Arabidopsis thaliana: one gene and its partners. The protein of the gene in region 2 interacts with the protein of the main gene of each other region in a pairwise test. Each region holds a gene or a part of one and is shown on either strand. Other genes may lie near its edges.

Region 1 (10,095 bases), on a different chromosome or scaffold from region 2:
TAGTTTTTACGGGTATCTTCACCGCTGATAACCAAGAGTCCAGTGTCAACTATAATTTGGGTCCTTGATACCTGGTAAGAAGGTTTCAATCATAAATAAATAAAGGGTATATTTTTTTGTGTAGTGTATTAGTAAACTACAATTTTTTCCAAAAATATTCTAGTACTTTGGATGCCATTTAATAATACAAGAAATGTTGAGGTTAAAAATTTCTACTATTAATCCAATCCATTTATCAATATCCCTAAGTTTAGACCGTTATTATCCCTAAGTTTATTTACATTGAACCAAACATTTTGCTTCTTCTTTGTAATATATGTGACCAAGCTATTGTCACATATATTACATTAAACCAAATATTTGATTTTTAAGATATATATATCCAATCTTCTCCAAGAAAAGAAAAAAAAATAAAATAGAAATTACCAAAATTAAATTAAAACAAAACTCAGCTCTATATCAAAATTTATTGTGTAGGGTACTATTTTCTTGATTGATAAAATTTTAATAGTCCTGTAATTAATTTAATGAAAAATGATTTTCTAAAATATTATTAACTTGTCGATTTATTTATATATTATATGTTAAATATGCATGGATCGAAGTAGAGGAAATATTTGCATCTTCTAATCTAATATTTGCGATTTGTTTAACATTTACTTTTGATTGGTTACAATTATTCAGTTTTCTTAATTAAATCTAAGTTACGTTAGATCATCAATATTACGAAAATTCTTTTTATTCCTAGTTTCTACCACATGGATTTCTGCATAATTAATATAAAAAAAAAACGAAAATTGTTACATTAGTAACTATCTAACGTACCGCGATTAAAAATATGTCATAGAAGTCGCGTGCGGCTACTATACGTTTGTCCGACCCAATGTTTTTCATGCAGAAATCTACTTCAGACGACTCCTTGCAAAGACTGTATACGTCTTTGGTTGGCATTGCATTTGATTTTGGAAATGCAAAAAGCACTAATAATAACGACGAAAGAAAATTTATGTGTTTTTTTAGCATCGTGGCCATATTGAGACACAAATTAAACGTGTATCTTTTTTATTTAAAAAAAAATCTGTGTTTCAAAGATCTTATTTATAGTTAGATTGAAAGTTAAAAACGGTAATAATTGTCTATGGATGAGATTCCTTAAATATTTGAATGGTAGCACAGTAAAATAGTAACAATAATTAATGGAATTAAATCAACCTGGTTTAAGAATACTTTTGGAGATATTCACCAAAAAAAAAAAAACATTTTTGGAGGGAATATGAGTCTCCGACTGAAATCAGCGATTCTTATTTGAGTCTTTAATTGTCCAAGGCTTTGGCGCATATATATCTTGGAGGAACATATATATATAACAAACATCGACATAGACTTTAGGAGTGAACAAGAGTGACTATAGCATTAGAAATCTTAAATGATAGTTTTTTTAATAATAAAAACAAATCTTAAAATGTGTGTTTAGAACCAAAAAAAAACTTATAATTTGGAATAAAAGGAGTAACAAACTTCAGTAGAGAGTGAAGACTTTTACGAGAGAACGTTAATGAATTTGGCATACTTTCACAAACGAAACGTCCTTTTCACAAAAGGTCACTTGTGTCGTGGCCATGAAATTCCGGTACAATTAGGTCACAAGCTTGTTGAAAATAAGAAGAATGATTCCAGAAAGCTTGAAAACATTCATGTTATAGAAAGTGAGAGGAGACGTTTGTATCGGACCATCCCTTCTCCATACGTTTTCGCAGTCGATCACAGCGTTGGTGCCAATCCTTGCCAGTTTTTCCACGTCCCAAAACGATTTTTGAAGTCCAAGTTCCCAAGCTGTGTGAAACCTTGCCGAAGCAATTCCGTAATTCGTCTTGCAAACCTCGATCCGTCTCCTCCCATGAGGACCATTGAACTTTCGACGGACTCTATCAATATGAGTGGTTGCGTCATCCACTTGCATTTTTGACTGCGTTATCTGATAAAGTTTCCAACATAAACAAGATTAAGTACACTCGAATAAAATTGCAATATATGTATAAAATTCATAACATTACCGCAATTAAAAGCACGTCAGTGAGGTCACGTGCGGCTGGTATACGTGGATCTGTCCCAAGGTATTTGAGGCAGAAGGGCACATCAGTTGTCTCTTTGCATAACTTGTCAATGTCTCTGGCTGGAATCGCGTTTGCTACTGGAAACACGACTATTAACAACGACGTAAGGAAAAGCATGTGGTTTATTAGCATTGTGGCCATTTTGAGAAACAAGAAGTGTTTTCTTGTGTTTTTTTCTTAGCCCTGTTAAGCGTTATTCTTTCTTACAAGAAACTTTATAACCTTAATGTATTAGAATTTTCTTATTCTTTTGTGCTAAACTTTTCCAAAACTTTAGCACCATATTTATACTAAATAGGTTGTGGCTATACAATAAGCCAATTTCCTATTCTCGTACTAATAGCAATAGATAATTTCCTTTTTTTATGGATAGGAAATTGTCCTCTGTCTTCATGCTTTCTTTTCCTCATATATAAAAAAGGAAACTCTTGATAATGTATGGAAGAGAATCTCTTCAAGAGATTCCTTACTAAATCTAGAATACTCTATATTTGCATCATGCATCTCCAAAAAGACATCATAGACAACTATTTTTGCTTTCGAATTTGTGCTAATTTAGCATACATCTTTAGCATTTTTCCGGACTTAGTTTTTGCTTGAAACTCTCATTCAGGTGTATACCACAAATTGCGTCGAAACTCGAGATTTTAAAACGTCATGTTTTTCACGGAATGATGATAAATTATCAAAAACATCACAAAGGTTTTATTCATTTAAACCAATAAATACATATAGTTTCAAAAATCGGGTTTACAACTAGAAGCAGAGAACAATCGGTGTTAATAAACGTGTGAGTGAATAAGCTAAACCAGTTAATATCGTAAATAAATCAAATTCCAATACGACGTACTTAAGCCTAAAGCTTGCTGATAATAAGACGAGTAATTTGGCATAGTTTCAGAACGTTATGGTAATAGAAAGTGAGAGGAGACTCTTGTTTCGGACCATGCTTTGCCCATTCGTCTTCGCACTCGCACACAGCATCAAAGCCAGCTTGCGTGTTTCGGGTTATTTCCATATGGTCCGTCGATGAATTTGACTTTTTCTGTCCGACTTCCCAAGCCTTGTGAAAACTAGTGCCCGCGCTCTCGTATTTTTCCTCGCATAGAGCGATCCGATTCTTTCCAAGCGTGTCATTAAACCTTTGGCGGATATTGTTGATTTGTGTGATTGCATTGGTCACTTGAATTTGAGTCTCAGATATCTGATAAGAAGGTCTCAATCACAAACCAAAAATAATACTTCTTTTGTAGAATATGAATAAACCACAGATTTCTATAACTTCTATTTAGTATTTTGGAGGCCATGTAATCTTACAAGAACTGGTGTGGTGAAAATTTTCAACTAATCTATACTATTATCCCTAATTTTACCAACACTGAACAAATATCTTGCCTTTTTTGGTAATATATGTGATCAACTAATCTGACATATCACTAATCAAAATTGTCACATTAAATAACGTTACCGGAATTAAAAGCATGTCACTGAAGTCGCGTGCGGCTACGAGACGTTGGTCCGACCCAATGTATTTCATGCAGAATTCTACTTCAAACGTTTCCTTGCAAAAATTATGTACGTCTGAGATTGGCATTGCATTTGACATTGAGAATACAAAGAGCACTAAAGATAACAACAGTTGAAGAAACTTCATGTGTGTTATTGTCATTTTGGCCATATTGTGAACAAAGAAGGTCTTTCTTAATTAATTTTGTTTCCGTTGTTGTGTTTCAAACATTTTATTTATAGTTAAATTCAAAGCTAAAATAGGTGATGATAATATACGGATGAGAATGAGATTCCTGAAATTTTTAGGAAAGTCAAAGACTTTGAACGGTAGTTCATCAAAATAGTAATTAACAATCATTAATAACCATGAAAATACTAATGGCAGTTTAATGTTTCGGTTTCCACTAGACCATTCCATTATCTCCTAATTTTAATTTTTGTACACAAAACTTTTTTTCTCTTGGGTCATGGATGACAAAAGATAAACATGTTTTGCTTTGGGAAATAAAGAAACTAATCTTTCACAAAAAAATAAAATTCATCAAGATAAACAAATAAACTAATCCAATTTTTTTTTACTTTTGGAAACTAAAACCTATTTATGTTAGGGGAAAAATAAATGAAATAAAACAAAAATTTGATTAAAAAACGTTAATTAACTGGATTTCACCTAATTATTAAAATTAAAAATTAAAATAGTGAGAACTAAAATAAAAATTTATCACTAGAAAATTATTAAAATAAGAATTTATTACTAGAATATATATATATATATATATATATAACTTATTTAAGGAAGATTGGGAAAAAAACAAGAGCAAATCCTTAGTAAGAACGTAATTAAAAATTCTGTTATATAATATTCTCTATCTCTCTCTTAAGCTTGTTATTAAACCTCTTCCTTAATTTCTTGTAGTTCTCTGGCCGCACAATGGAGGCTTATGATATTTGTAAGTTTTGGAAGCTGGATATGTTGGAAGAATTTTCTCAAATAGTTCTCAAAGGAAAAAAGAAAATCATCCTCGACATCCCGAGCCCCTCTCAGCAGAACAAAAGCGACATCGTTTCGTTATGTCCTGCTGATAGTCCCGAAACATGCAATTCTTCGATACCAGACTGGCTCGTGAAAGTGATGAGAAAAGAGAATGGATACGATCCAAAGCTGATCATAAAGAGGAGGGTGCTGTGTACGACTGATCTCCGTAAAAACCAGGGGTGTCTCTCAATGCATCTCAGCAAATTAGAGAAGTCAGATTTTTTGACAGAGGACGAAACCAGATTCTTAGATGAAGACTTTTTAAAGGCTAAAAGGGATGGTTTGAAAGTGTTTTTGGTGGATCCTGAATCGGATAAGCATGTCGTTTATTTAAAGAAGTGGAATGGTAATACAGTTTGGAAATATGTGTTAAGTCATGGTTGGAACAATGTGATTGATAAAAAAATCTTCAAAGTCAATGACGTGATTGAAATCTGGTCCTTTCGAGATGGAAGTGGAAAACTTTGCTTTGCTCTCTCTTCTCCAACCCGTTGTGGTAGAAGCAGCTCTGGTCATTCCTCATAATGTCACAATGTTGCTTGAGACCCAAGTAACTTTAGGAATTTGTTTTTCATTATTTTTTATGGTTTATTGATTTTTTTTTGTAGAGAGATTGGATATTTTCTCCCTTGAGTCAACTAGAGAGGTTGGATGTTTGTCCAATGACCTTATTTTTCTGAATTTATTTATTTATTTTAAATTGACTTGGTAATAATGTAGATTTATTAACAATTTTTTTCTAAAAGATTACTTTGGATTTATTGTTGCGGTACTAACTTGTGTTAATAGCTTGAATCAATATTTTATCACGAACATGGATTTATTCCCAATTCTATCCAAATTCACAACCTAAAAGATTTGATTTGGTTTTCTACAATTTAAAAGAGAAGGTGTTTGCACTAAAACAGAGTAATTGATGAATCACATAATTTCCGGTTCGGTTCGGTTATAATTATGTGGTCGGCTAAAAAACCGGAATTTTAACCCTGTCTCCATCCTCACTCATATAAATAGTCGAGAAACCCTAAATTTCTGCCAAAACCTCACAGCCACACAAAGAAGAGAAGAAATGGCTTGCACCGTAGATTTCCGGTGCCTTGACGAAGGATTCGGCGGCAAAACCTACAAACGCAAACGCGAATCTCAAGAACAAGCCGCCGCCGAAGCAATCGCCGATGAAGCTTCCATGGACATCGATGGTGCTCCTCCTGCCGCGAAACGTAGCGCCGTCGCTTCCTCTGAAAATCCAGACAAACCTATTGCTCTAGCTGTCGAGAGACCAACCTACGACGGTGTAATCGCCGGGAAAGTCTCCGGACGGAACTGGAAACAGCCGCGAACTCATAGATCTTCAGGGAGGTTTGTGAAGAACAGGAAACCAGATCTGGAGGAGATGAAGAGGCAAAGGGAGATTAAGAAAGCGTATAAGGAGAGGGTGAATGAGCTGAAGGAAGAGATTAGGAGTAATAAGGTTGAGAAGAGGAAGAAGAAGGAAGAGAGAGAGAAGCGGAAGAAGGAGAATGTTTTGAGAACTGGTACTAAGTTGCAGAAGATTACAAATCCCAAGACTTTGAAGAAAATTTCTATGTCTAAGAAGCAGAGGAAGCAGCTTAAGAAAATTCCTGACGAGATGTTGAGTGGTGGTAGCAAGAAGAGTATCACGAATTAGTGGTTTTTTGTTCCTTCTCTTTAAAGGCAAGTGTTTTCAGTTTTTTGTATTTCCTCATGAGGTTTATTCGATGTTGTTTAGTTAACAATCTGCAGCTAAGAACTAAATGTTATGAAAGTTTAATAGTGAGAAACTGTGTTTTGCTTCAACAGATAAGAACCCATCTTTTGTTTGCAGTTTCAATTTCACTCCATTGAGAAATTGGATTTTGATTATCATTGTGTAATTGACTTGAATCTGTCGCACATTAGTTATATGTAGTGTGTCCATTGCTATATCTGGCTCTGCTTCTTGATAAGGATCTTGGTGTTTGACTTTGATTAATGGTTTCATTTCGATAGCTATGTTCTGATATGTTCTCAATAAAGTGACAACCATATAAAGGGTTGATCCCATGAGTTTGTTCTCCGTTCCTCTTGTTTGAAATGCGGTGATTTTAGCTGTTCTTAGGAGTATTTCAATTGTAGTCCTATCCTGTGAAAGTTCTTTGTAATGTCTTGAATTTTGATTATGATTGTGTTGAATTTATCACGCCTTAGTTATATGTAGTTGTTCATTGCTATTTCTGGCTCTCCCTCTTGATAAGGATCTTGGTGTTTCTCTAATGCTGCCTCTTGCTGTTTGGTGCGATATAGATAGGCATTCGGGTCTGAAATCTAACCTATACATTGACTTCGATCTTCGATTTATGGTTTCATTTCAATAGCTTTTCTCGGGTTTTAGTTTTACTGAAATATAACAATTGAATGATCCCATGAGTTTTGCTTGTTGTGTGATGTGTTCTCGGTTCCTTTTGTTTGTAATTTCAATTGTATTTATGTCTTGTGAAAGAGCTTTATAATGGTTTAATTGGATGAGAGACAAATAATATACATTCTCTATGGCAGCCAGTAACTGTTGATCTTATATTACACATGTAAGATAATGTTGGACCAGAAATGTCAACATCTTTCGAGAAGTTTTGTGTGGCAGTAATTCAGATATATGTTCACTCTGTGACGCAAGCGTTTAATATCTTGGCACTGAAATCGTTGTCGGAATACTGAGAGTTTGACATCTGGAACATTAGGATTCCTTTGGAGTTCGAAAATTCTGGTTCCTACATTTATATAAAAACAAGACAGTGATATCAGAGTTTTTAGATTGTTTCAGCTTTCTACATTACTTTTTTGCTATATTAGGTGGAACAATGACTCGTGCAACATCCAAATGTTCTTTCTACTCGTCAATAGGTAGGTGGTTGATTACATAATTTGGTGAGAGTTGGTCGCATAAAGCTTAACCAATACCATATCTTTCCCCAGATCTCCTCTCAGAAAGTCTGATAAACAAATTATTTAACAGAACAGATACACAATTGGAAAACAAATATGTGACAATTATTGCAAAAACAAATAAGAATGAAAGAAACAGACGAAAGTTAAGTAACCATGACTTTAGTGAAATTAATCAATTTCGTAAGCAAAATAATAAAAAATCATTTTTCTAGGAAGCAGAGGAGGAGAGTCCTACCAATTCATCTTCTCTCTCTCTCTATCGGCTCATATCTCCAAAAGACCTATCCAAAAAAAAAAAGTTTGAGTCTTTACGAATTCCAAAGAAGCAATGAAAAACCCTATCCATATGTAGCTCTTTTCGATTCCGTAATCACCACAAACTCTTCCTTTCAATGGCGTCAACGCCGCCTCACTGGGTCACCACCACCAACAACCACCGTCCATGGCTTCCTCAGCGTCCTCGTCCCGGTCGCTCCGTTACCTCAGCTCCTCCCTCTTCTTCAGCCTCTGTTTCTTCAGCTCATCTTTCACAGACTACTCCAAATTTCTCTCCTTTGCAAACCCCCAAATCAGATTTCTCCGGTCGTCAATCTACCCGATTCGTCTCCCCCGCCACCAATAACCACCGTCAGACCAGGCAAAACCCAAACTACAACCACCGTCCGTATGGTGCCTCTTCTTCTCCTCGTGGCTCAGCTCCTCCGCCTTCATCTGTAGCTACTGTAGCTCCAGCTCAACTATCACAACCTCCTAACTTTTCGCCTCTCCAAACCCCAAAATCCGATCTTTCATCGGATTTTTCAGGTAGACGATCGACTAGATTCGTCTCCAAGATGCATTTCGGGCGGCAGAAGACGACAATGGCTACGAGACATAGCTCTGCTGCTGAAGATGCACTTCAAAACGCTATTGATTTCTCTGGAGACGATGAGATGTTTCATAGTCTAATGTTGAGCTTTGAGTCAAAGCTGTGTGGCTCTGACGACTGTACCTATATAATCCGTGAGTTAGGGAATCGTAATGAGTGCGATAAAGCTGTTGGCTTTTATGAGTTTGCGGTTAAACGAGAGAGGAGAAAGAACGAGCAGGGGAAGTTAGCTAGTGCTATGATAAGTACTCTTGGTAGATATGGTAAAGTAACTATTGCTAAGAGGATTTTCGAAACTGCTTTTGCTGGTGGATATGGAAACACGGTTTACGCCTTCTCGGCTTTGATCAGCGCTTATGGGAGAAGTGGGCTACATGAGGAAGCCATTAGTGTCTTCAACTCCATGAAAGAGTATGGCTTGAGGCCGAATTTGGTTACCTACAATGCTGTGATTGACGCTTGCGGTAAAGGCGGGATGGAGTTTAAGCAAGTAGCCAAGTTTTTCGATGAGATGCAGAGGAACGGTGTGCAGCCAGATAGAATAACTTTCAACTCGTTGCTTGCTGTTTGCAGTAGAGGAGGGTTGTGGGAAGCAGCAAGGAATCTGTTTGATGAGATGACGAATAGAAGGATTGAGCAAGATGTTTTTTCTTATAATACGCTTTTGGATGCAATTTGCAAAGGTGGGCAGATGGACCTTGCTTTCGAAATCCTTGCTCAGATGCCAGTTAAGAGAATCATGCCTAATGTTGTAAGTTATAGCACCGTTATTGATGGGTTTGCAAAAGCCGGAAGATTTGATGAAGCTCTTAACTTGTTTGGTGAAATGAGATATCTTGGTATTGCATTAGATAGAGTTTCTTACAATACATTGCTTTCAATCTACACTAAAGTTGGTAGATCTGAAGAAGCTTTGGATATTCTGAGAGAAATGGCATCTGTTGGGATTAAAAAGGATGTTGTGACTTATAATGCTCTTCTTGGAGGATATGGGAAACAAGGGAAATATGATGAAGTGAAGAAAGTTTTCACTGAGATGAAGCGAGAGCATGTGTTGCCTAACTTACTGACTTATTCAACTTTGATCGATGGGTACTCGAAGGGGGGTTTGTATAAAGAGGCAATGGAGATATTTAGGGAGTTTAAGAGCGCCGGATTAAGAGCTGATGTTGTTTTGTACAGTGCATTGATTGATGCATTGTGCAAGAATGGGTTGGTGGGTTCTGCTGTTTCTTTGATCGATGAGATGACAAAGGAAGGAATTAGTCCTAATGTTGTAACTTATAATTCCATAATCGATGCCTTTGGTCGTTCTGCAACTATGGACAGATCAGCCGATTATAGCAATGGTGGATCTTTGCCTTTCTCTTCTTCTGCTCTGAGTGCATTGACTGAAACAGAGGGTAATCGGGTAATACAGTTATTTGGGCAGTTAACAACTGAGAGTAACAACCGAACGACGAAAGATTGTGAGGAGGGTATGCAGGAGCTCTCCTGTATATTGGAAGTTTTCCGCAAAATGCATCAGCTGGAAATTAAACCAAATGTTGTAACCTTTTCAGCGATTCTGAATGCTTGCAGGTTTGTTTCTCCTTTGGATCCTCTTTTTGAAGTTAACGAGT
Region 2 (12,795 bases):
TGGAATGCTTTTTTGGTAAATTTTCTTTTCTCTTTTGCTTATTTCACTCTCTGAGTGCTTTTTTCCCTTTCTCTGCTTACCTTTAAAATAAAATAAAACCACATGAATTCTACCGCAACCACTTGAAACAAAAGATTCAACATCACCCTTTATTTCTCAACTTATCAAAAATATATATATCAATCGTCTATATTCTTTGACCTTTGGAGTTACAATGTATAAACATAGAAAATATATTTGCATCGCTCAGCATTTTGACTATTAAAGGGCATAATTTTGGAGCTTCATGCCAAGGCAAAAAGATAAAGAACAATCACATGAATGACAAAAGATTAAAAACAAAAGATTTTTAACTAATGAAAAAAAACACAAAAAACAAATACCGGTAAATAAGGGCAAAAGTGGAATTAAGTGTTATAGCTCCGCTGGCGATTGGCAGAGATATAAAAACTGATCTCTCTCCATTCATCTTCTCTTGTTTCTAACTAGTCACATTGAGAGAGAGAGAGAGAGAAAGAGAGACTCTCAGAATCTGAAGAAGAAGAAGAGATTGTTGTTTTTGCCTTTTATCATCGGTTTCTTTGAATCTCTGGTTTTAAATCGGATTTAATGGTGGAGTCTCTGTTCCCGAGCATCGAAAACACAGGTGAATCGTCTCGAAGAAAGAAGCCGAGGATATCAGAGACGGCGGAGGCGGAGATAGAGGCACGACGTGTCAACGAAGAAAGCTTGAAGAGATGGAAAACGAATCGTGTGCAACAGATCTACGCTTGTAAGCTCGTCGAAGCTTTACGCCGAGTTCGTCAGAGATCTTCCACCACCAGCAACAACGAGACCGATAAACTCGTCTCCGGCGCGGCGAGGGAGATACGTGATACGGCGGATCGAGTTCTAGCTGCGTCCGCTCGTGGTACGACTCGGTGGAGCAGAGCGATTTTAGCGAGTCGCGTCCGAGCGAAGCTGAAGAAACATAGAAAGGCGAAAAAGTCAACGGGAAATTGTAAATCGAGAAAAGGTCTCACGGAGACGAATCGGATTAAGTTACCGGCGGTTGAGAGAAAACTGAAGATTCTTGGCCGTTTGGTTCCTGGTTGCCGGAAAGTCTCTGTACCGAATCTTTTAGATGAAGCGACCGATTACATCGCAGCGTTAGAGATGCAGGTTCGAGCCATGGAGGCTCTCGCCGAACTTTTAACCGCAGCCGCACCACGGACGACGTTGACCGGAACTTAACGGCGGCAGTTAGTTTGTCAGTTGTTAATTAGCTTTTCTTTTACCTTTTTACCCCTTTATTTTGGCTTCAAGTGTTTTTTTTTTCTCGTCGACGCGATTTTAATTTATTAAATTCATGTATTTTATTTGTATACATCATCACTTCTTTTTTTTTGTATCCATTTTGATCTTTCTTTGTTTTTTCGTTAGATAATCAAAGTTATCTAAACAATAACAACAACAAAATGCCAACTAATGTCGATTCCAAAAATTGTTTAACGCTTTAAAAAAAAATTAGACCTACAAATTAAAGAAACTAAAAAGTAAGGAGAAGAACAAATAATTTGCAAGTTGAAGCAATTCAAAAATGAGCATGTGCGTGTAACGTGTTGAGGACACCCACCTTAATTTTGGGGCCAATGGACTCCATGTGATTCTCAAAGACTTTTTCCGACGTTGAAGTTTATGTCGAAAAGTGTATTTTTTGCTCAAAATGCCCTCAAAATCTTTCAAACTGATTAGAAAAAAACATTTACTTGAATGTCAACATTAATTATGATAACAAGGAGTAGCATACGACTCTTCAAGAGAACTGACATTATGAAAAATTGATGATTATGGTATAAAATACAAGTTAGTAAAAGTTAGTTGTCAGAAGAAATCCACTAGGAATAACATTGAAAGAAGTGGTGAGCAAAAAGGACCACAAAAATGGAACCAAAAGAAGAGGAAACAATAAGATTGAGAAATGAGTCTCTTGGAACATCTTTTTTCCCTCTTTAAGACTCCCCACGTGTGCTCTTTCTTTTAACACCCAATATGTCTTTCAAAAGCATTCACACCTTTTTGTTGTATATCAAATTAAATGGCAACATGTTTGTGGGTCATTGTGTCTTCCAAGTTATATAAGAAGATTTCTCACAAAATCCATCTTGATAAGTCCTTGGATCGAGCTTGGAGGATGTGCTATAGGTTTTAAATATATATATTTTAAGTACATGTTAGATGAAACTTAAAAAAAACTAATTTATGGTTGTATTTCAAAGATATTTGTCAACTGAGATAGATAGGTTATCCAAATGTCATCTATCGACATACTGCATCTTTTGTCCTTTTCTAGTTTTCTTAATACGGCTGATATAGTTTTAGATAGTAATGTATTCATTCACATGATATGGTTTTTGTGAAGAAAAGCGGAATTAATAGTGAGGCAAATATGTATAGGTATGCTTTTGTTAATTAAATAATATAAATGCATCGAATGATAGCTACAAAACAAACGAAAAGAAAAAAGAGGAAAAAAAGAAGAAGGAGAAAATGTGGAGTTGGCCATATGTGGCTAAAAGGTAGACCCAATGTGATCACATGCAACCATGTGACTCCAATTATGAACCTCATATGTGAATGTGGCCGAGGAGATGCCAAATTTTCAAGAATCTCCTCTTTCTACAACGCTATTTACAAACAAAAGCAAACACTAGTTTTACATTTACAGTCCATACTTATCGACTCGTAAAAAACAAAACAAGAAAAATACAAAATTATCATCTTATTCTTACCTTGTGTTTGAGTTCCCTAATTCCACCAATACTCCTCACTTTAACGTTATGGAATCCGTAGAAGAGAAGGAAAATGCAATCGGTTCAACCGGCAGAAAAGACCGGACCAGAATGTTGAGTAGTGGAAACAATGGGTCCGACGATTAGAGAAGCAAACAAAAACCCTCTTCGACAAAATTTAATTCAACAAATACTGTCATCCATATCTTTTCTTTTCATGTACGTTTGATTATACACGTAAAAGACTTTTGCGTGGTGTAATGAGATGGAACACGTGGCAAGACAGCATGCACTCGCACATGTACTTAGTCAGACAGATTTCGTTGTCTTTGAACTGTGCTCGTGTTTTCTCGCATTTCCGCACGTGGTCTCAAGTCAACCATTATCCACTTCAACTCCTACGATTTTGTTTCTATATCACTACCTCCATACATATAACCAAATTTTGAATGTTACTATTAGATCGTGTTGTGAATCTTGCATTCAAGCTTCTTGGACTTGCCTCTAACAATTCACTCTTCATGGATTCCTCCCGTCGAGTTCCATTTTCACGACATGATGATAAAGGAAAACATGTTGACAGATAAACTGAAGAGTAAATATATAGTTATATTTTGGTTTTCCAAAGAAAATAAAAATTAGTCAAATTTTTGTTTTTTTCTTTGATGTGCAGTGTTAGAATTTCTTCCTTCCAAATAACTTAACTCGGAATATTATTGAGAGGCTATAGACAAGCAAACTAGTGTCGGCCTTCCTTGATGTTTAAGGTCCCAATCTAGAGCAATGAAAAACAAGACAACTTTTTTGAGAAAAATTCAATCTGCCTTTATAAATCGTCTTTTTTGGTTACTTGGATCTGTTACGTTTCTACAATGAACCAAATTAAACAACTATGGTGTTTTCATTAAGCAAACTAAACAACTACAGCTATATAAGTGGAGATATGGAAAGGGGTCATGTTCCTACATTCCAGAACAAAGGATCATATCTTTATTACTGTGAAAGAAATGACAATTTTTTAAATAAATAAAATGTAATTTCTTCAATTTTGTTTTTTGTAATTTTACAATGAGTGCAACATTTTAGTAAATGTTTTTATGCTATTATACAAATCAAACGAGAATATTAAAATGACATAGTCACGAAATCAAATTTATTGAGAGTAAGCTTGATAAATCAAATTTAGAACTAACCAAATCTTTGACTTTCTTATTTGCTCTCACATTCCTGAACAGTTAGATCAATCGTACTCTCCAACTTTTCTACGCACAAAATTTAAAAATTTGATAGTTTTTCTTTTCATTAAATAAAAGACGAGAAACGGTTATATTTGCCTGAGTAGAAACCGCCGATAACAACAAAGTGGAAAATATGGCTAGTTTGTATTTTTAAGTAATTTCTCGATTTAATTTACTTAGGACAAAAATGTATTTATAGAGAAATCGTGCTTTTATTTATTTATTGAGAAGATTCTTTTTTGTTGTTTTGTAAATATTTATTTAACATTTTTATTGGTACAGTGACTTATGTTTTACAATATAAAGGATTTATAAAAATAAAAATTATTTTTCTTTGTCTCTTAAATATGGATATACCCAAATATCATTTTCCATAAAAATTCGGTGTTATCCAAATCTCAAAACCCTATTTTTCATAGATGTTTTTGTTTCTCTTATAAATTCATCACTGAATCTCTCATGCTCACCATTAATTCTCAGCAATAAAAACAAAGAATGAACGATTCAATGAAAGCTCCAAAATTCTTTAAAAACCAGCTAAAACTAGCGGAAGCACATTATCAAAGAGGTAATCTAAAAGGAGCCATTGAAATCGTGAATGACTTAACGTTTGGTCACCCAAACACATCTTCAAACCACCATGAGATCTCACAGATTCTCCTCGCCTATCAAATCAACTTGACTAGCCAAAAAGCCAGTTTCACACACTACGATATCTTGAGAATCTCAAATCCGTTCTGTAGCCATCAGATGATTCAAAGAAAGTACAGAGACATCTTGGTTAAGCTCTACCCCGACACAAATAAATCTATTGCCGCCAAATCAGCTTTCGAGATTATTAATTATGCGTGGAAGATCTTGTCCGATCCTGAAAAACGAAAAGATTACAATATCAAAAAAAGGTTTAAGTGAAGATGATTCATGTCTCCAGAAGATCATGAACCACATCAAACAGTGAGGCAAGGGTTTCATGTCTTTCTTGGGAATTGGAATACAAAACCTATTTGTTCTTCTTCTTTTTTTAGGTTAATTTTATGATTTTATTTTATTTTATCTAGGTATTAATTCCAAGTAAACTTGTGACAGTTTGAAAGTGCTAATGGATATTTTTACAAACTTTTTTTGAATTTATTTAAATGCAAAATTTACAGTTTTGCTGCCATAATAATTATGATTTGATAAGAAAAGTTACGATTCTAGTAGAGTTTGCTTTTCGTTGGAATAACGTGATTATATTTATTTTATTTTAATACAAGATAATTACATATAATGATATAATATGTTGCGAAAAAAGTCTCTGATTCTTGGGAGAAAAGATTCGAAAAGAAGGAAGGATCCAACAAAATCCGAAATTATTATTAACTGAAAAAACAAAAATTTTGCGCCAGCGTGGCAATACTTCTCTGTCAGGAGGAAGGATCCAACAACCAATAAAACTCCGACCCGGATCCGAACCCGAAAGCACCAGACGACTCGTCCTCCACGATCCCAATTTCTCCAATTTCAATTTTGCCAAAGAGCGAGAGAGAAGGAAGAAGATCCAGACGAAGTGGTTTGCCTTCAGGGAACGAGAGAGAGAAAGAGATTTTAACAAACGATGTCGCTGAGGCCGAGCACACGCGCGGAGCTAAGGAAGAAGATATACAAGACAGGCGTCGATGCCGATGAGGCCAGGCGGAGGAGAGAGGACAATCTCGTCGAGATTAGGAAAAACAAGCGTGAGGATAGTCTTCTCAAGAAGCGTCGTGAAGGAATGATGCTTCAGCAGCAGCTGCCTCTCGGAGCTGGCCTTGATGGTCCCCAGACCGCTGCCGCCGTTGAGAAACGAGTAAGTTCCCTTTGATCTGAATTTCGATACAATTGTGCGTGATTTTGTGATTTGGATCACATGATTTGATTATTTAGTGATGGATCTTTGTTTGATTGTTGAAAAAAGTGAGGCTTTGATTCTGTTTCCTACCTCAATTCTAGATCTCAGCTCCCAATCTCATAATTGACCATCAAAGTTTAGTTTTTTGTTTTTGGGAATTTGTTTATGGATATTTGGGATTGATAGCGGATCCTGGATGACCATGTATGCTGATCGCAATGTATAGTGTGCTTTAGTTAGATATCGGAATTTCTATCTTCTGATCCGATGATCTTGTCAATGGATTGGATGTGTTACATTTCTAGCCAAGGAGAGGTTTTCGTTTCTGTGGAAACAACTGTTTGATTACGTTCATGTGCTTTTGACAGTTAGAAGGTATCCCAATGATGGTACAAGGTGTTTATTCTGATGATCCTCAAGCTCAGCTAGAAGCGACTACCCAATTTAGAAAGTTGTTATCTATAGGTAGGTATACATTTGTTCCTTTCAGAAGCAATTTTCTGTTCTGGGGTTGTATGTGTGTAATAGACTTCTGATGGTTGCTTGTAACACGGTTTGATAAACAGAGCGTAGTCCTCCAATTGATGAAGTGATCAAAGCTGGGGTTATCCCTCGATTTGTGGAGTTTCTTGGAAGGCATGACCATCCTCAATTGCAGGTATGTCTTGTACTTCTTTCATTTTTAGATTTGTTCTTTATTAATTGCACCTTGAAGACTCAAGAATAGTTTGGTGGCTTAATGAAAAGTTTGTTTGCAGTTTGAGGCTGCATGGGCTTTGACCAATGTTGCGTCAGGAACATCAGATCATACTCGGGTTGTAATCGAACAGGGGGCGGTTCCTATCTTCGTTAAGCTTCTTACATCTGCTAGTGATGACGTTCGAGAGCAGGTTTGCCACTAACTAGCTAGATAACTGCGTGCTTCCATTTTGTATATGTGACCTGGTCCACCTGGATACATGCCTCTAAGTTCCGTGGTCGTATTTGGTTTGTTTGTTGTTTGTTTTGATCCTTAGTGGTTTTTCGTGATATAGTCAGCCAACTGCTTTTCCGTAGTCATAGGTGCTATAACTTTTTATGGCTTCGTACAAACCCTTACATGATATCATTGTAGGCGGTGTGGGCCTTGGGAAATGTTGCTGGGGACTCTCCAAACTGCAGGAATCTTGTTCTCAACTATGGGGCCCTTGAGCCATTGCTGGCTCAGTTAAATGAAAATTCTAAGTTGTCCATGCTAAGAAATGCTACATGGACCTTGTCCAACTTTTGTCGTGGTAAACCACCAACACCATTTGAACAGGTATGACTACAGGAATGGCTTCTCTTTGATTTTTCTGGACAACTTATGATTGATGGTTCTAGTTTATTTATTTATTGTTATTATTATATTTGTTTCGTTGTGTTCCTTACTTTACTCAAGCCTAGTGTTGGTTATTCATATGTTTCAGGTGAAGCCTGCGTTGCCAATTCTTCGGCAGCTTATCTATCTGAATGATGAAGAGGTTCTCACTGATGCTTGCTGGGCTCTCTCCTACCTTTCAGATGGCCCCAATGATAAGATTCAGGCTGTGATTGAGGCAGGTGTCTGTCCACGACTTGTGGAGCTTTTGGGGTTAGTTCTTTTTTTCCTGACCAATAATTGACTAGACATTATTTTTGTTTATTTCTCATCATATTTAGTCTCTCTATAAAAGTTTGTCTATCTCAATAAAGGTGTTGGTATCTTCAAATTTGTGATGCTTTTTGAGTATCTTCTGGCAACTGAATGTTGATGTTCTTACTATCTCATATTCTTGTTCCTTTTGTTTATTTTTTTTTTCCTTGGTGCATCTATACTAATTAATATATCTTTCTTCAAGTCATCAATCACCTACGGTTCTCATTCCTGCTCTTCGAACTGTTGGGAACATCGTAACTGGTGATGACTCTCAGACACAGGTATGATTTATGACGAACGACTATTTATGTTGTTTTGGGTATTTGTTTTGAGATTTTGACTATGACTGTGTCTTTGCTTGTCAGTTTATAATTGAGAGTGGCGTACTACCACACCTTTATAATTTGCTGACGCAAAATCACAAGAAAAGTATAAAAAAAGAAGCTTGTTGGACTATCTCGAATATTACTGCTGGGAATAAACTTCAGATAGAGGTATGCGGTTTTTTTGTTGCTATCTCTAATATGTCAAGAAGACGGCTGTTCATGGAAGATATTCATTTCTGATTCTGGAAGAAAAGTGAAGAAGTTACTCTTTTCTTAACTTTTTAGTAGAGCGAGCTAATTTTAGTACTTTCATATTTTCCAATGACTTCTCTGCCTAGAAACCTAATTATACCCTATTTGCTACTGAAAATATTGAGATTAATTAAAGTTTCAGAGGCTAAAAGCAATTTTTTAATCAGTTTATATATTTGAAACAATAGGCTGTGGTTGGCGCTGGAATAATCCTCCCTCTTGTGCACTTGCTCCAAAACGCGGAGTTCGATATAAAGAAGGAAGCTGCTTGGGCTATTTCCAATGCCACATCAGGAGGGTCACATGAGCAGATTCAGTATGTCATCTCTATTCTGAAGCGCATTTGCAAACAACTAACTTCACTTCATAGTGTTCCTTCTTAGTCTTATACCATTATCTATCTCGAAATCGAAAAATGCCATAACACAGTTTTGCATGCAGATATTTGGTGACCCAAGGCTGCATCAAACCACTTTGTGATCTTCTAATCTGCCCTGATCCAAGGATCGTGACAGTGTGCCTCGAGGGTCTTGAAAACATTCTCAAGGTTGGTGAGGCTGACAAGGAAATGGGATTAAACAGTGGGGTGAATCTCTATGCTCAAATAATAGAAGAATCTGATGGGTTGGACAAAGTCGAAAACCTTCAATCCCATGATAACAACGAGATATATGAGAAGGCCGTTAAGATATTGGAGAGATATTGGGCTGAAGAAGAGGAAGAACAGATTCTGCAGGACGGCGGGAATGACAATTCACAACAGGCTTTCAATTTTGGGAACAATCCCGCTGCTCCCGTTGGTGGATTCAAATTTGCCTGAAAAAGGTATACAGTAGTACAAATTGAAATCCTTTGGTTTGGGAAACATGAGATTCAGCTTTTGCAACTGTTATTGACAATTGCCAGGTTCAAGTTCGACTTTTTGAGTTCTGGTGCAAAAAGGCTTATTTTTCTGTTTTTTTTTCTTTTTGTTGTTGATGTTGTCCTTATTTGTCTGAATCATTCTCTGATTCTGTATCTTAAACTCTGCTATGAATTATGTGTAGTGTGGTTTCTGGTTTAGGATATGGTACACTTTGTATTTGTCACTTTAATCTTTGTCGTCGTTATAGTTTAATAACTTTTACTTGGCAAGAGTACAAGTACAAGAAATATTTGATTGCAAAAGAGTCTTCTTGTCTTGTTAATAAAGTCCTCAAATGAATTGGTAAAGGAAAGCTTTAATCTCATCAATATAAGGAGACTTTGTAGGAATGATGTGGCCAAAATCGTGCTCAACAATGGTGGCGCAACCATCTTCAAACAACCCCGCCAGGTCTGAGCTGGCTTGAGTCACAATTTGTCTGTCTTTTCCAGGCTGACTTCCGAATATGTGAAGTGAAGGGCATTTAATCGATCGTTTCTCCTTCATCTCCAACAATGGCCACGGTGTGAAACCCGAGCACAACACGCAGAATCTGAAGTCTATTTCACCTACGAGCTGCTCCTGTTTCCCACATACAGCCGCAGCCATTGCTGCACCTTGAGAGAATCCGAGAATGCCATCAAAAGGCCCTTTCTCTTCAAATGCCGTCTTCAAGTATGTCAACGATTTATCAAACCCTTCAGTTTGAGTCTGATACTGCAATGGATCGAACTGGCATTGGGCCACTGTCCAGCCTGTTTCACTCGGTTTATCAAAATCTGATGACACCAACCACGCAAACTTCTTATTGCATACTCCGGATGGAGGGGTAGCAGTTTGGTAGATGAACTGTAATTCGTGTGGTGCATCGATGAACACAAGCTCGGCAATATTCTTCAGTTTCTTTGCTAGTGATCCGGTCCTCCCTTTAAAGCTAGACGCGTTCTGCCTAAATCCATGCAAGCACAAGATCCTCAGCTTCCGTCTTGTATTGTCACCTGACCATAGAAGTGAATTGACAAAGTTTTCAGGGGAAAAGGGACTAGAGAATTTTGAAAAATCCTCTGATGTTTTAAACATTTGATCCAAAAATGAACAAACAGACCTTACCATTGCTTTCAGAAGGTTGGTTTAAGGGATCAAGACTCAAAGGGACTTCCCCTTTTCCGTGTTTACGACACAGCTCACATATATATATATCTCCTTTAACCTGCAATAGCACATCATAAGTCCAAGATACACAATCCTTATGGAGTTGATCAACAAAAGTGGTCTGGGTGCATTACCCGACAATGATTGCAGACTAAAACAAGCATCCGGCATAATCTGCAACGGCAACGTGGAGAATAGTCGTCAAAGGTATTGTTGCAGAGAAGGCAGCTGCCTATTATATCCTCTTTTGAGCTCCCAACTGAGATCCTTTAAATCCGACATCAAAATAAATGTTACCTGGACCTATAAAAATTGTTTTCCTCGTAGATTAGAATAGAAAGATGCTAGATATATACCGGTGATCAAACACAAAGTTCTTCCCTTTGAAGAACCCACCACTGGGAAATTGTTCAAGGTATCTCTGTATGCCACCATAGAGCTGCAAGAAACAAATAACAGATGGAGTCAGCCAAGTTCAGTGACCTGTATCAAATCCATTTGCGATCCAGGATCTCACCTGAAAAGTATTCTCAAATCCAGCACCTTTAGATCTGATATATGCAGATGCCATTTCACATCTGATTCCACCAGTGCAGTACCTGATTCGCCAACAGATGAGACTTCAGTGATGTAGAAAGTAAACTGAACAAGAAATCTCCGTATGTCACAAAACTATTATTCATACATGAGCACGTTTTTGCCCTTCATTTTCTCGGCATTCTGATCAATCCAGGTTGGCAAATCGCTATATTGCCTGATTTCAGGATCAAGGGTCTCCACATTTTCTGATTCGAATTTTCCAATCCGTGTCTCGTACAGGTTCCTCGCGTCAAGCAAAACAAGTTCCTTATTCTCAGACTTCCCATCTCCATCCAGATGTTCAGCAGAGTTGCAAGGAAACGTAATCAGCTAAGAAACGCAATATAGCAGTAAGTAATAAAACAAATAAGAAACTTACTGGCACTCTGCAGGACCGAATGAAACTCTGCAGCAGAGAGATGCTTCCCAGCATTTGAAATTTCTGGGGGTTTAAGGGGAGGGCAAGGACTAAAGGTCACTAACTCCTGCAAATCACAACACAATGCCACATATCTATCAAAATGCTGAGGAAGTAAAGTCATAGTCTAAGAACCTCGACACAATGACAAAAAATTCATCCATCACATGCAAAAAATGGAACTAAGTACAGAAAGAGAAAACATTTGAAGTCCGGAGAAGACAAAAAGCTTAACTTGACACCAAGTCATCGTTAATCTTGTAAAATTTAAGATTTAATCAGCACATACAACATCAAGGTCATCAGTTATGGAGACTATGGAAAGAATAGGCATGAATTTTATAAATTAGTAGAAAACATTCAGTCAGATGAGCAAGGAGATCATAACATGAATATTTTTATCATCCCCGCAAATGAATCTTACGTGTTCCACAGATAAGAACTTAACATAACATTAACTATGTTTGGTAAGAAAGATAAGACAATAACCTCAACAACTCGGATGGAGAGTGATGTAAACCCACATTCCTCAGCAACTTTGTCATTCAAGGGATGATGGCAAGATGCAAGCTTGAAGTCAGTCCCTTCAAACAAACAATTCGACTTTGCAGCGGCAATATGTTCCTCCAATGCAGTTAATTTCCCACCAACCTAACCAATAAGCAAAGTTTTCTATTATCCCAACCGTATAAACAGAACTCTAGCAAAAGCTTCAAACTTTTGGTGTCTACTTCTTTAATGGTTAAGATGGATTACACTCGTAAGTCGTAACTATACATGGAGAACTTTAATCCTCAATCAAACAACCAACAGAACACAGTTCAAAAGGGTTAAGTTTTTCTTTTCAGTTCTCTCACCACATAAAGGGTTAGAATTTTCGATTCATGGCTTTAATACTCAATCAGACGCGAACCACAGACGAAACAGAGAACTCAGAAAATGGTCAAATCAAATATAAAACATTGGATATGTAGAAAAGGAGATTAGAAGCATACAGTAACATTGACGCCTTTAGGGGAGAGCCTGACTCGGCCGAGTAGACCTAATGAGTTGCAGCTAGATTCATAGAAGGAAACGAGCTCATCTAGATCAGGAACAGAGGTGTACTTGTAGTACAGCAACACACCGTATTGCTCTTCATCTTCAATTCTCTGCTTCTCGTGATCGCCACACGAGCTCGTTCCCATTAGGGTTTCTCTTCTTTCCACTGGGATAATCTCAGGCTCTTGGCGTCGCGAAGATGGAACCAGGAAGCCAACACTGTTTCAGAGCGCGATTTGGAAAACCACGTACCAGAGGTGGACCAAACCGAACCTTGCTTAAACCGACATTTGTTTATAAATCGATTGGTTTAATTTAAAAACCGAATTGAACCGATTGATTTCCAAGTTGCCATAGCTTAGCCTTACAAACTGTAACATTGTGAACATAGGGAAAAAGCGGTGGAGATGGGTTTATCTTTGTTCTCTTGAATAACATAGGTCAGACATTGTTGTTAACTCCATTAGAGATACTGAAAGCAAAAGACATATCTAAACAAAAACAGAGAGATTACAACTTCTATTGATATCTTTGGCTCTCGAAAATCGAATGCAGCGATCAGCCTTTGCACCTGTCAGTTTGGTCCC
Region 3 (9,727 bases), on a different chromosome or scaffold from region 2:
GTTATTAGACAGAAAAGATTATTACATATGTGAGAATACTTCAGAATAATGACGGCCAAAGTTAATCATCTCAAATTATAAGAATTTCGAAAAGCTACTCACTTCGTAAATCATTTAAATTCTGAATTACAGACGTCGGTAGGTCTTTAAAGAAATAAAACTGATAAATGGTTATAGGAATCGGTCATAAACTAAAAAGATCAACAAAATGTTCGTTCGTGTTTACTCGAATTTTCTTTAGCTTGTGAGCTTGATGCAGAACTATATATGTCGGTACTTACTAACCCTTGCATATTTGTTTACATGACTTGGATTATTAGGATCCAAACATATTTCGTATATAAAAAATTAATCTAAAACGCTCATTAAAGCTTTTAGTTTCTCTTTAATGGTTATATATCAATAGGCAATAAAAGTTTTAAATGTCCGTACACGTCACGTGATTCCGACATTACTAGATCATCGGTGGTTAGGTTGATAGTCGCTTTGTGAATTGTGGGTGCAACTAACATAATTTTACTTTCTCTTTATCTTAATCTCAAAACTTTCAGAAATAAAACCTAACCGGAAATAGAACCGTACAATTTCATATATCAAGGATTTTAACTTATATTGTAGCATGCTCAACTTGGTTTTGCGATGTTTTCATATCTATTATTATTTCAACATATTTTCCAAATTATTTTATCTAAATAACTTACTTATTTGCAAATTAATTAGTCTATAAAACATATCTTTTTTTGGTCATAGGTTATTATTGTACATACTTATTAAATATTTTTAATTTTATTGTATTACATATTATAGATACATACTTGAAACTACGATCACAATAGATATAAATAAAAACGATTTTATGAAAGAGAATTCTCTCTGCAACCTATCTCAGTCTGGAAAATATTAACCTGAGAAGATTTGGATATCGCAATCTTAAAAAGTTAAAATTATGTCAAGCTCAGATAGCTGTAAGAAAGAAATTTCTTAATTACTAAATATTTAATCTTTTTACCATGTGTAGATGATTGATTAGGATCTTATAAACTTGTACCCAAAACGACTTTAGCACCCAAAAAATAAAAGGTTATATCATTTCATTAATTTGTATGCTCATGTATAACACGTCATTTATGTGGCCAATATGGACGGTCCATGTAATCCAGACAAAATTGTTCGAGTTGTAATTCTTTGTTTGGTATAGCGTTTTGTTGGGAAGCAACCGAAACAATCGTTTTCGAGCAAAGCCATTTGCAAAAACTATGAAAGCCTTACGAAAAGAGAAAATGATGATAGTCAACTATTATAATGCTCTAATAGTTGGACCCTAATTGTAATAGATTTACGTATAAAAAAAAAGACAAATTTTGGATAGACCTTGTATATCAGATTTTCCAGCACATGTATAAAGCCGTGCAGGTCTATGTACATATCTCGATACACAGCTATATGTCATGCCAATACATATCTCGATTAAGATTAGCTTGACTAGCAACCTAAGTCCACAACTACTACTATTGTGAATGACTAGACTTTTAACTCGTTTAATATATTGTTTGTGTTAGAAAGATATAATAGATTTTAAAAGAAAAAAAAGATTTGAGAATTATGTATATAAAACAAAAAGAAGACATGTTAATTTGCTTCAATCATATCATTTCGTGTTAGTAATTCTATATCTTATCATCCACTTTTGACTTATTCAATTAACTTAAAGTATCATAGGAAAGAACGAGATAGCACGTCATATTAAAATGGATGGATGTGATTCACACTTGCACAATTCTCGTCTTGCGCTAAATTTCTGTCCAATTTCGTCTGCCAACCTACAACTTACAAGGTCCAAAAGCCCTTTAATATAATTACGCATTATTAGTATTTTCCAATGTCAAGAAAACAATAAATGGACTATAACTCTCTGCTTAATGCCTAAAGGGCTAGAACAATTAGTCAATTAGTGGATAGACGATTTTTTAGAGGTTTAAATAGTTTTCAAATAAAAATAAAATATATTTCTGTATTAATATAACATAATAAAAACAAGTTAATAGAAATAAATTGTATATTTTAAATTAATCAAAATACATAAGCAAGAAATATGAGTATTCAGTATTCACTAATTTTAAAATACATAAATTTAAAAGCATTAGGCTAAATTCACCTATCTTACCAAAATCTATCTAATACAATTAATCTGCATGATAACTGGATAATCTGCTAAATCTAACTAGCTACTTAAGAGGTGGTGATCTACGCCTAGAACGTCTAATCATGATTTAGGAGATTTTAAGCGGCTACACATTTACAACATAACATATTATAAATATTATATTATAAATAAAATTCATAGAAAACTATCTCTTAGAAAAATAAAAATATGAAATTATAAACAAAACTTAGATAAAACCATTTATAATTCATAGCAAACAATATATACAAAGCTAAAACTTATAATTTAAATTGATATAGTTGGAAACAAACAATATATACAAAGCTAAAACTTATAATTTAAATTTATATAGTTGGAAACAAACAATATATACAAAGCTAAAACTTATAATTTAAATTTATATAGTTGAAAACTAAAAAATAAACTAAAATAAAACTTATGGAATTTTAGACAGCCAAAACGGTTATTTAGATATCACATAAACGTCTAAAATCTAGATGACGATCAACTAGGGATGTCAGACGGGCGAGCACGCGACCAAATGGGGGGTCCGTGATGGCCCGTGCTTCTTTTCCATAAGTGGTGGTCCGGTCCGCCAACGACCACATGCGACCAATCGAAGCCCATATTCGCCTCGCAATGTCCATTGGTCTAACGGTCTGGCCCGCAATCCTGTTCTGTTCTAGTTGTCTCTGAAACACACTGTGTTGTTCTCGTCTCTGAAACACAGTGTTGTTCTCGTCTCTGAAACCTTCGCTTATGGAGAACTTCTGTTCTATTGCATGCCTTTGAAGACAAGAGACTTTGACCGTAATAAATGGTTATTCCACAAGTTTTGTAATTCTGTGTTATCACCAAACACAAACTGTTCAGTCTACTCCATCGTTAATATCTAGGTTCACCATTGAATCTTCCACCAGCTATAACCAAACAACGACGAAAAAGAGATGTCATAACTATTTAACTACACAAATAGCATCTAAAAATAGCAACAAAAAAAATCAAAAACTAGTCATTACTTAGTACCTATGAAATTGTTTCCAAATGTCTCCAATTAGAACCTTGGATCCTTCAACGATGGTGATACTACCAACACCACCAAGGACGAGATTCTTCAAGGCATTGGAACCAATAGGACCACAATTGAGTAAACAGATACTCGCTTCTTCCAAAGTCCCTTGACTTCACCTCAAAATCCTAATCAATCAACGATTACTTCATAAAATTTCCTCCCAACAAGATTCGTTCGAAGATCGATAGAATAATACAAATGTAGAGTTCGAAGAGACTAACATAGTATACATGAGTTGACGATCGTACTTGGCTTTAGGTTCCATCATTGTTAGAGATGAGAGATCATATGTTCGTAAGTCGTAAACAGAGGAAGAAGAACAAGCGCGTCGTCCACAAGTCCGCAGACATTAATAGATAAACCATGACTAATCCACAATCCAAAGTTCCAAACGCACCCAACCCGCAATGCCCGCTCTTTTTTTGGACTCCCTTATACAGGCCCATACCTACTCTGCAATATTACTAAACGGGCCAGGCAAAGGCCCAATTGATATCTTTACCATCAACACTTTTTTAAAACATTGATTTTAGTAAAATTTATGTTGTTTAGGAACGTCAAACGCTTAAATAGCTTTTGTTTGACTTGTAGTTTTGCAAATATATAACTTCTCTTTTGACGTATAAAATAAAACTGAAGAATCTGAAATTTGGATAACATGTTAATAATCTTCTTTTACCATTTTTTTCAAAAGTATTGTAGTTAAAAAAAAATTGATTATTGTAAGAAGGGGAAAAACATGAAGGACTACAAGTCTACAACGATAAACTAACGCTGTCTGGTTCCGGTTTACAGTTCAGATCCAAACCCAAACCCTGTAACCCGACCCGATTAATCTCATCGAATTCTCCGTCTCGAACGCCGTTACAATCCAACGAGTTTCTCAACCCAAGATTCTGACTCCGTTTCCTCTTCTTAGACGGTAACTCTCCCTCAGCAACACCGCCGTTAACTTTCGCAACCGTTCGTGTCGCCACGTGTACTCTCCGTAATATCTTGAAAAACTCATCCACCTCTTCCTCCGTTACCGTCCGAACAACTTCCGTCGACGGTTTCCCTCTGTTACCGTCAGATTTTCCGTTATCTTCTTCTACGCGTTCTTCTTTCTTCAAAGAGTTGTTCATGTTAGCCAGAAGAAAATGTTAACGGCGTCGTTTAAGCTTAGTCAAGAAAAAATTATTTGCTGATTTTATTTTGCTAAAATTTATAATGAAACTCTTATAGCCGTCGGTGTGGAACTTAGACGGTCGATATTGTCAACAACTAAATAAATTGGACGGTGGAGATTGATGCTAATGACATCATCATGCGATGTTTTAAAGCGTAAGTATCATGACGTCACACTTTATTGACTTTTGGAATAAAGGAAGTCCATGTGTGGAAAAATTGGTATCGGCTATATTTTTAGAGTATATGTAAGAAATAACTTTTGACTTCAAAAGAATACACAAAATAACCTTGGACCAAATAGTATTTGTCGGCTACAGAAATTTTGGCAATAGTTAGTCTATTTTAGCCTTTCTCTTTCTTCTTCCTTCTTTTGTTTCTTTTTCATCTTCTTTACGAGACTTTAGCCATGGAGTTCTCTTTCTCTCTTCATCTTTAACACAATTCATCTTCTTCAGATTCACCATGTCATTTTCTTTTTCTATTTCTCTCTCCCTCTCCTAAAATAATCTTCACCACCTCTCATAAAATATATCATCATATCTCTTTATTTTGTTCACCTACATGTTCTCTCTTTCTTTTTCCATAGAAATCTCTCTATCTCTCATTCTTTATTTTCTCTTTTTACCTGAATTTTCCGTCAATGTCGTTGTGATATAAGAGATTAGATTTGATTTTAAAACAAATGTCTGATTTTAAAATGCATGTATTTTAAGAACAAAACATGTTATTAACACTGATATATTAATATTTGTCATGCTATCCAATAAAAACTCATGAAATAAATAAATATTTGTCATGTTATCCAATAAAAACCCATGTAATATTGTAACAATTCTATATGTTTTTTTAAACTTCGCGATCTATAAGAGAATTGCATGCTTTTTATAAATATTTCGTGCTATTTCTGAGAAACACATTATTTCAGAGAAACATATATATCGTGTATATATATTCTGTATGTATTTTAAAGAATTGCATGATTTTTGTAAATATATCATGCTATTTTAGACAAATACATATAAACTTTATAACTAAAGCCAATGGCATTATTGTAAAAATAAGTAAACACAAGGATATTTTTGTATTTTCTCTTTTTCAGAAAATGTTATTTACCTAACTTTTCTGACACAATGTCATTCTCTCAATTCTTTTCCATTTCATAGTTAGTTTCTAATATTACCCATATTTTTATATACATAGAGATCTATATTTTTATAATTTAACAAAGACCAAAAAAATTTGGCCAAACAACAAATAAATAAGGAAGACTAAGAACTTGTGAATTGTGATCATCGTTAACGTGGGGAAGATTTTCTTGCGATTATTATTCCTAGTCTTATTTATTTATTTATTTCCACTATCAATTTAAAATGACACGTAAATTTGTAATGATTTTTCGAATAATGTAAGCACTAATTGATATTGGTGTTTTAACTTTTAACAAAAGAAAACAAAGATCTACATATGGGCCTAAAGTAAAAGCCTTTTAGTTAAGTACATTATAATTGGGCTTTATATCTTAACAACGTCGAATCAATTGTAGGGCCGACGTGGGCGGCTAAGCTGTTTCCAACTTTCCAACTTCCGACCAGCTCCACTTGTGTCTTTCGCTCTCTCTACACTTATGTTTTTTTTTTTTCAACTCTCTGTTTTGTCTGACGTGTCCACTTACTAATAATTTTTGAAAAAACTTTCCACATATAAAAATTGCTTGATGGTCGTCGTCGATGGCTGCATTATTTATGAATGTATTAGTCCACATGGTGAAATGTCTACATTTTAAACACCACGTGACACTGATAATCCGACACTTGTATGTGTGAAATCAATGTAATGATCCCTTACTCTTTCTTTTTTGTTTTTCTTTCAATAGAACAAAAATATTGCGAATTTATCTAATAATGTTTCTGTAATACTAAAATTATTTTAAAAGTTTTTATTTAATATATTGTTAATTTGTCTAAATTTTGTCACGACCGTTTTTCTTCATGAATAGTCTTTGACGTAGTTGAACATCCATTTTGTATACACTGTTATAAATTTGCACACATTTTGTGTTTCAACAATTTTTAAAAAGTATATATGTAGTGTACAACTTTACTTTATTATTGCTTTACTTTTTTTTTGTCTATTGTCGTTGAAAAATGACATCAAATGAATCTGTTGCCTTCCTTACGTAGGAAACGTTTTGTTGAAATAGTAATAATTAGTAAGGGTCATTGTATATTGGTGGAGAAAATGTTTTTCTTACTTCTGTAATTGCATCGTCTTTTCTTCACGTAGGGTAGGCAATCACATGCATTCAGGCGTGCGTTCACTGTTTTCTTTTTTCTTCTAGCTTTTTGTTTTCCTACTATATTGTTGCAGAAAAATGTTTAGTTTAAACTAAATTAATTATCCAACTCTTTAAAGTGGCAATCTTGTAAATAAAAAGGGGAGTAGGTCTGGACCAATGTGGCAATGCGAGCGATATGTTAAAAAAGCTGTGGAATAAACAAAATTTTGGAAATTAGGAGTTCCTTTCGTTTTATGGAATTGAAAGAAAATGACACTTTCAATATTTTTTTGGTATTTCTTTAGTAAAAAATGTTTTAAATTTTTAATCGATCGAATCGTAATGAACCTTACAAAAAAATCATAAAATTTGAAGTTGATATATAAATTTTAATCTAGAGATGTTAACTTTTTGGATTAATCTGGAAGCGACCTGTTTTAAGTTGTTTCAAAACTATTAGGACCGAAACCAAATAGAATCGAGCAAAAAATGTTAGAAATTTTTATTTTATTTTGTGTTCTTTAGGTTAACCAAATGTTCGTTCATGGTGTAAGATATCAAATAATGGATGAGCTTAACCTCTAAAATACAAGTTTAAATTGATCGGTTCAAATCGGACCGAACTTAAATGATTTTGCAAGTTATTAGAGTGATCATGATCATGTTATGTTACGGAATATTACAGAGTAACTTAACTTAAGCACTGACTTAGTTGACCCAAAAAGAGACCATTGACTTCATGAAATGCTTGAGTGTGGAAAAAATAAAACAGAGTTATTCAAAAACGTTTTGAGTTGTGAATTATTCTCATTAACATTGTATTTATTTGGTGCACAAAAAAAAAAAAAAAAAAAATTGTATTTATTTATACCCACTAAAGATGGGAAGAAGACTTGTAAATTATGATGAAAAGTCCCTCGGTTGGTAGCAACTAGCAAATGTGGGGATGGAACAATCCTCCACGTTCGAAATTGTTCTTCTTTAGCACAATCAAGATACTGCAAAGTAAACTACCTCTAATGTAATTAATTAACCTCACAAATTGTTATGTTAATTAATGGTATTGAATTATACTCGTCGATCTTTTGTAAGATATTTTTGTTGAATGCCGAAAAAATTATCAGAATCTATAATTGATGTTTTTGTTTAAGAGTCAATTTGGGAGAATGAGTTAAATTACTATAGAATACAAGTATACATCACATCAAATAATATGAATAATTCACTAAACAATGAAGGAGTAGTTACTAGTCACTCTCTTTTATTTATTTTTAATTAAAAAACGAATATATATGTTATTGTAGTTTAATACTATTAATAAAATAAAATTCTATTACTTCACTTAGCTAAAAGACCCACAGTGCAGTAACAGTGAGAAGTAAATTTCATGAATAATGTATTACAATACAATAATAACTTGTTCGATACAAAGTATTATTCCTTTCACAAACTAAATTTATTTACCATATATCCATAATATAATTCCAAAAATAGTATGTTTTATTACCATATTGTAAAAGGGAAAAATGTCATTTAAATCATCACTTTACCATTTTCGTTGGTTTAAAACATAAACTCTCGATTTGGTGATTTAAATCCTCAATTTTATGTTGACGTTTAATTTAATCACGAATTCTCGTTAACTAAGCCAATTAAGACACATCGTTAAAAAATTTTCTAATTAAAATTTTTGAGTTTTTCTCTATTTTTCTTCAGAATCTCTTATCTTCTTTGGAATTTCTCTTCTTATTCGAATTCAAAGTAATCTTTCATCTTTAGGTCGATTGACGATACCGGGAAAAAAAATTGTGTCTCAATTGGCTTAGTCAACGAGAATTTGTAATTAAATTGAAAATCAACATCAAATTAAGAATTTAATTCACAAGATCCAAAATTCATACTTTAAACCAACGAAAATGATAAAGTGATAATTTAAAAAACATTTTCCTTATCCCTATTGTAAAACTATTTTCACCAATCTTAACCGAAAAAATGAAATAAAACTGTCCAAAAAAAAAAAACCAAATGCTAATAAAAAACGAATTTAATTTCCCATCTTCGTTTTTTTTCTTTCTTTTAATGCTTTAATAAATTTTTATTGAGATCTGTGTTTGAACAATCGTTTCTTAAAAGATTTTTAACATCTTTTTAAATTCCTCGGTCTCTTAAATTTACCAGTTACATAACTTTCTTTTATTTTTCCGACATAAATTAAAAGTTTTGTCTTTGGTAATAGAGAGGCAGAAAAATCTTGGCCATAGATTTGTCATCTGTTTTCGATTCGTTTTGATTCTTTACTTTATCTTCTTCTTCTTCTTCTTCTTCCTCTTTTTGAATCTTTTATCTTCTCACTTTTCTTTTTCACTTTTGGGAAGCTCGAAGAGCTGAGAGGAGTGTGAGAGAGAAAAGGATCTTTGAAGTCGCCGGAATAATTTGTTTAACCGGAGCTCTGTCTTTGACTCTACGCTTCTCTCTCTTCTTCTTCCTTCTTCGTCTTCTTAATCGCTTTCTGCTCTGTTTTTCTCGTTCATCAAGCTACATCTACTAGCTCTCTCAGTGATTGATTTCTCACAGTTTCATCGATTTCCATGCGTTTAAGACCTAAAAGGTAACTGGGTTTGCTAAAGTTTGTTACTTTGAATGGTTTTTATAGTTTCTCTGTTCGAATCTGAAGTGGGTTGTTGTGTTTTTGCTGGTTATTGAAACAGGACTTGTTCTGGGGTAAAGGACTTTTCTTGTTCTTGAGAGAGTTCATTTTGAGGCTTTTCTGGGAATTTTGAGAGGTTTTTTAGGGTTTAAGGGGGTTTGGTTTTGAATTTCGCACACCAAGTGTTCGATAAAATGGCTGAACGAAAGAAACGCTCTTCTATTCAAACCAATAAACCCAACAAAAAACCCATGAAGAAGAAACCTTTTCAGCTAAATCACCTCCCAGGTTTATCTGAAGATTTGAAGACTATGAGAAAACTCCGTTTCGTTGTGAATGATCCTTACGCTACTGACTACTCATCAAGCGAAGAAGAAGAAAGGAGTCAGAGAAGGAAAC

What was found.
Region 1: the proteins of IMPA-4 (region 2) and AT2G31410 interact in a two-hybrid assay, tested with the Arabidopsis thaliana proteins (one large-scale study listed by BioGRID).
Region 3: the proteins of IMPA-4 (region 2) and NIMIN-2 interact in a two-hybrid assay, tested with the Arabidopsis thaliana proteins (one large-scale study listed by BioGRID).

The regions. Positions count from the first base shown.
Region 1 is NC_003071.7:13,388,453-13,398,547, reverse strand, and holds AT2G31410 (coiled-coil protein), read left to right. Parts: upstream 1-5,620; 5' UTR 5,621-5,728; coding exon 5,729-6,328; 3' UTR 6,329-6,667; downstream 6,668-10,095. Other genes in the region: AT2G31432 (Plant invertase/pectin methylesterase inhibitor superfamily protein), read right to left, coding at 1-71, 826-1,032; PMEI5 (Plant invertase/pectin methylesterase inhibitor superfamily protein), read right to left, coding at 1,637-1,975, 2,055-2,255; AT2G31425 (Plant invertase/pectin methylesterase inhibitor superfamily protein), read right to left, coding at 2,971-3,318, 3,583-3,792; AT2G31420 (B3 domain protein (DUF313)), read left to right, coding at 4,555-5,184; GUN1 (s uncoupled 1), read left to right, coding at 7,998-10,054.
Region 2 is NC_003070.9:2,988,900-3,001,694, forward strand, and holds IMPA-4 (importin alpha), read left to right. Parts: upstream 1-5,431; 5' UTR 5,432-5,606; coding exon 5,607-5,837; intron 5,838-6,247; coding exon 6,248-6,344; intron 6,345-6,445; coding exon 6,446-6,537; intron 6,538-6,637; coding exon 6,638-6,769; intron 6,770-6,993; coding exon 6,994-7,179; intron 7,180-7,327; coding exon 7,328-7,491; intron 7,492-7,738; coding exon 7,739-7,817; intron 7,818-7,901; coding exon 7,902-8,030; intron 8,031-8,302; coding exon 8,303-8,430; intron 8,431-8,555; coding exon 8,556-8,934; 3' UTR 8,935-8,939; exon of another isoform or gene 8,940-9,020; 3' UTR 9,021-9,309; downstream 9,310-12,795. Other genes in the region: AT1G09250 (basic helix-loop-helix (bHLH) DNA-binding superfamily protein), read left to right, coding at 610-1,233; AT1G09260 (Chaperone DnaJ-domain superfamily protein), read left to right, coding at 4,505-4,921; AT1G09280 (rhodanese-like domain protein), read right to left, coding at 9,310-10,016, 10,129-10,228, 10,305-10,437, 10,527-10,609, 10,688-10,769, 10,856-11,036, 11,129-11,234, 11,657-11,818 and 1 more; AT1G09290 (uncharacterized protein), read right to left, coding at 12,783-12,795. UniProt on the Arabidopsis thaliana protein: Binds to conventional NLS motifs and mediates nuclear protein import across the nuclear envelope. Acts as a cellular receptor for the nuclear import of the virD2 protein of Agrobacterium and is essential for Agrobacterium-mediated root transformation.
Region 3 is NC_003074.8:9,466,530-9,476,256, forward strand, and holds NIMIN-2 (NIM1-interacting 2), read right to left. Parts: upstream 4,511-9,727; 5' UTR 4,361-4,510; coding exon 3,992-4,360; 3' UTR 3,828-3,991; downstream 1-3,827. Other genes in the region: AT3G25880 (NAD(P)-binding Rossmann-fold superfamily protein), read right to left, coding at 3,063-3,084, 3,191-3,346, 3,458-3,504; CRF11 (Integrase-type DNA-binding superfamily protein), read left to right, coding at 9,523-9,727.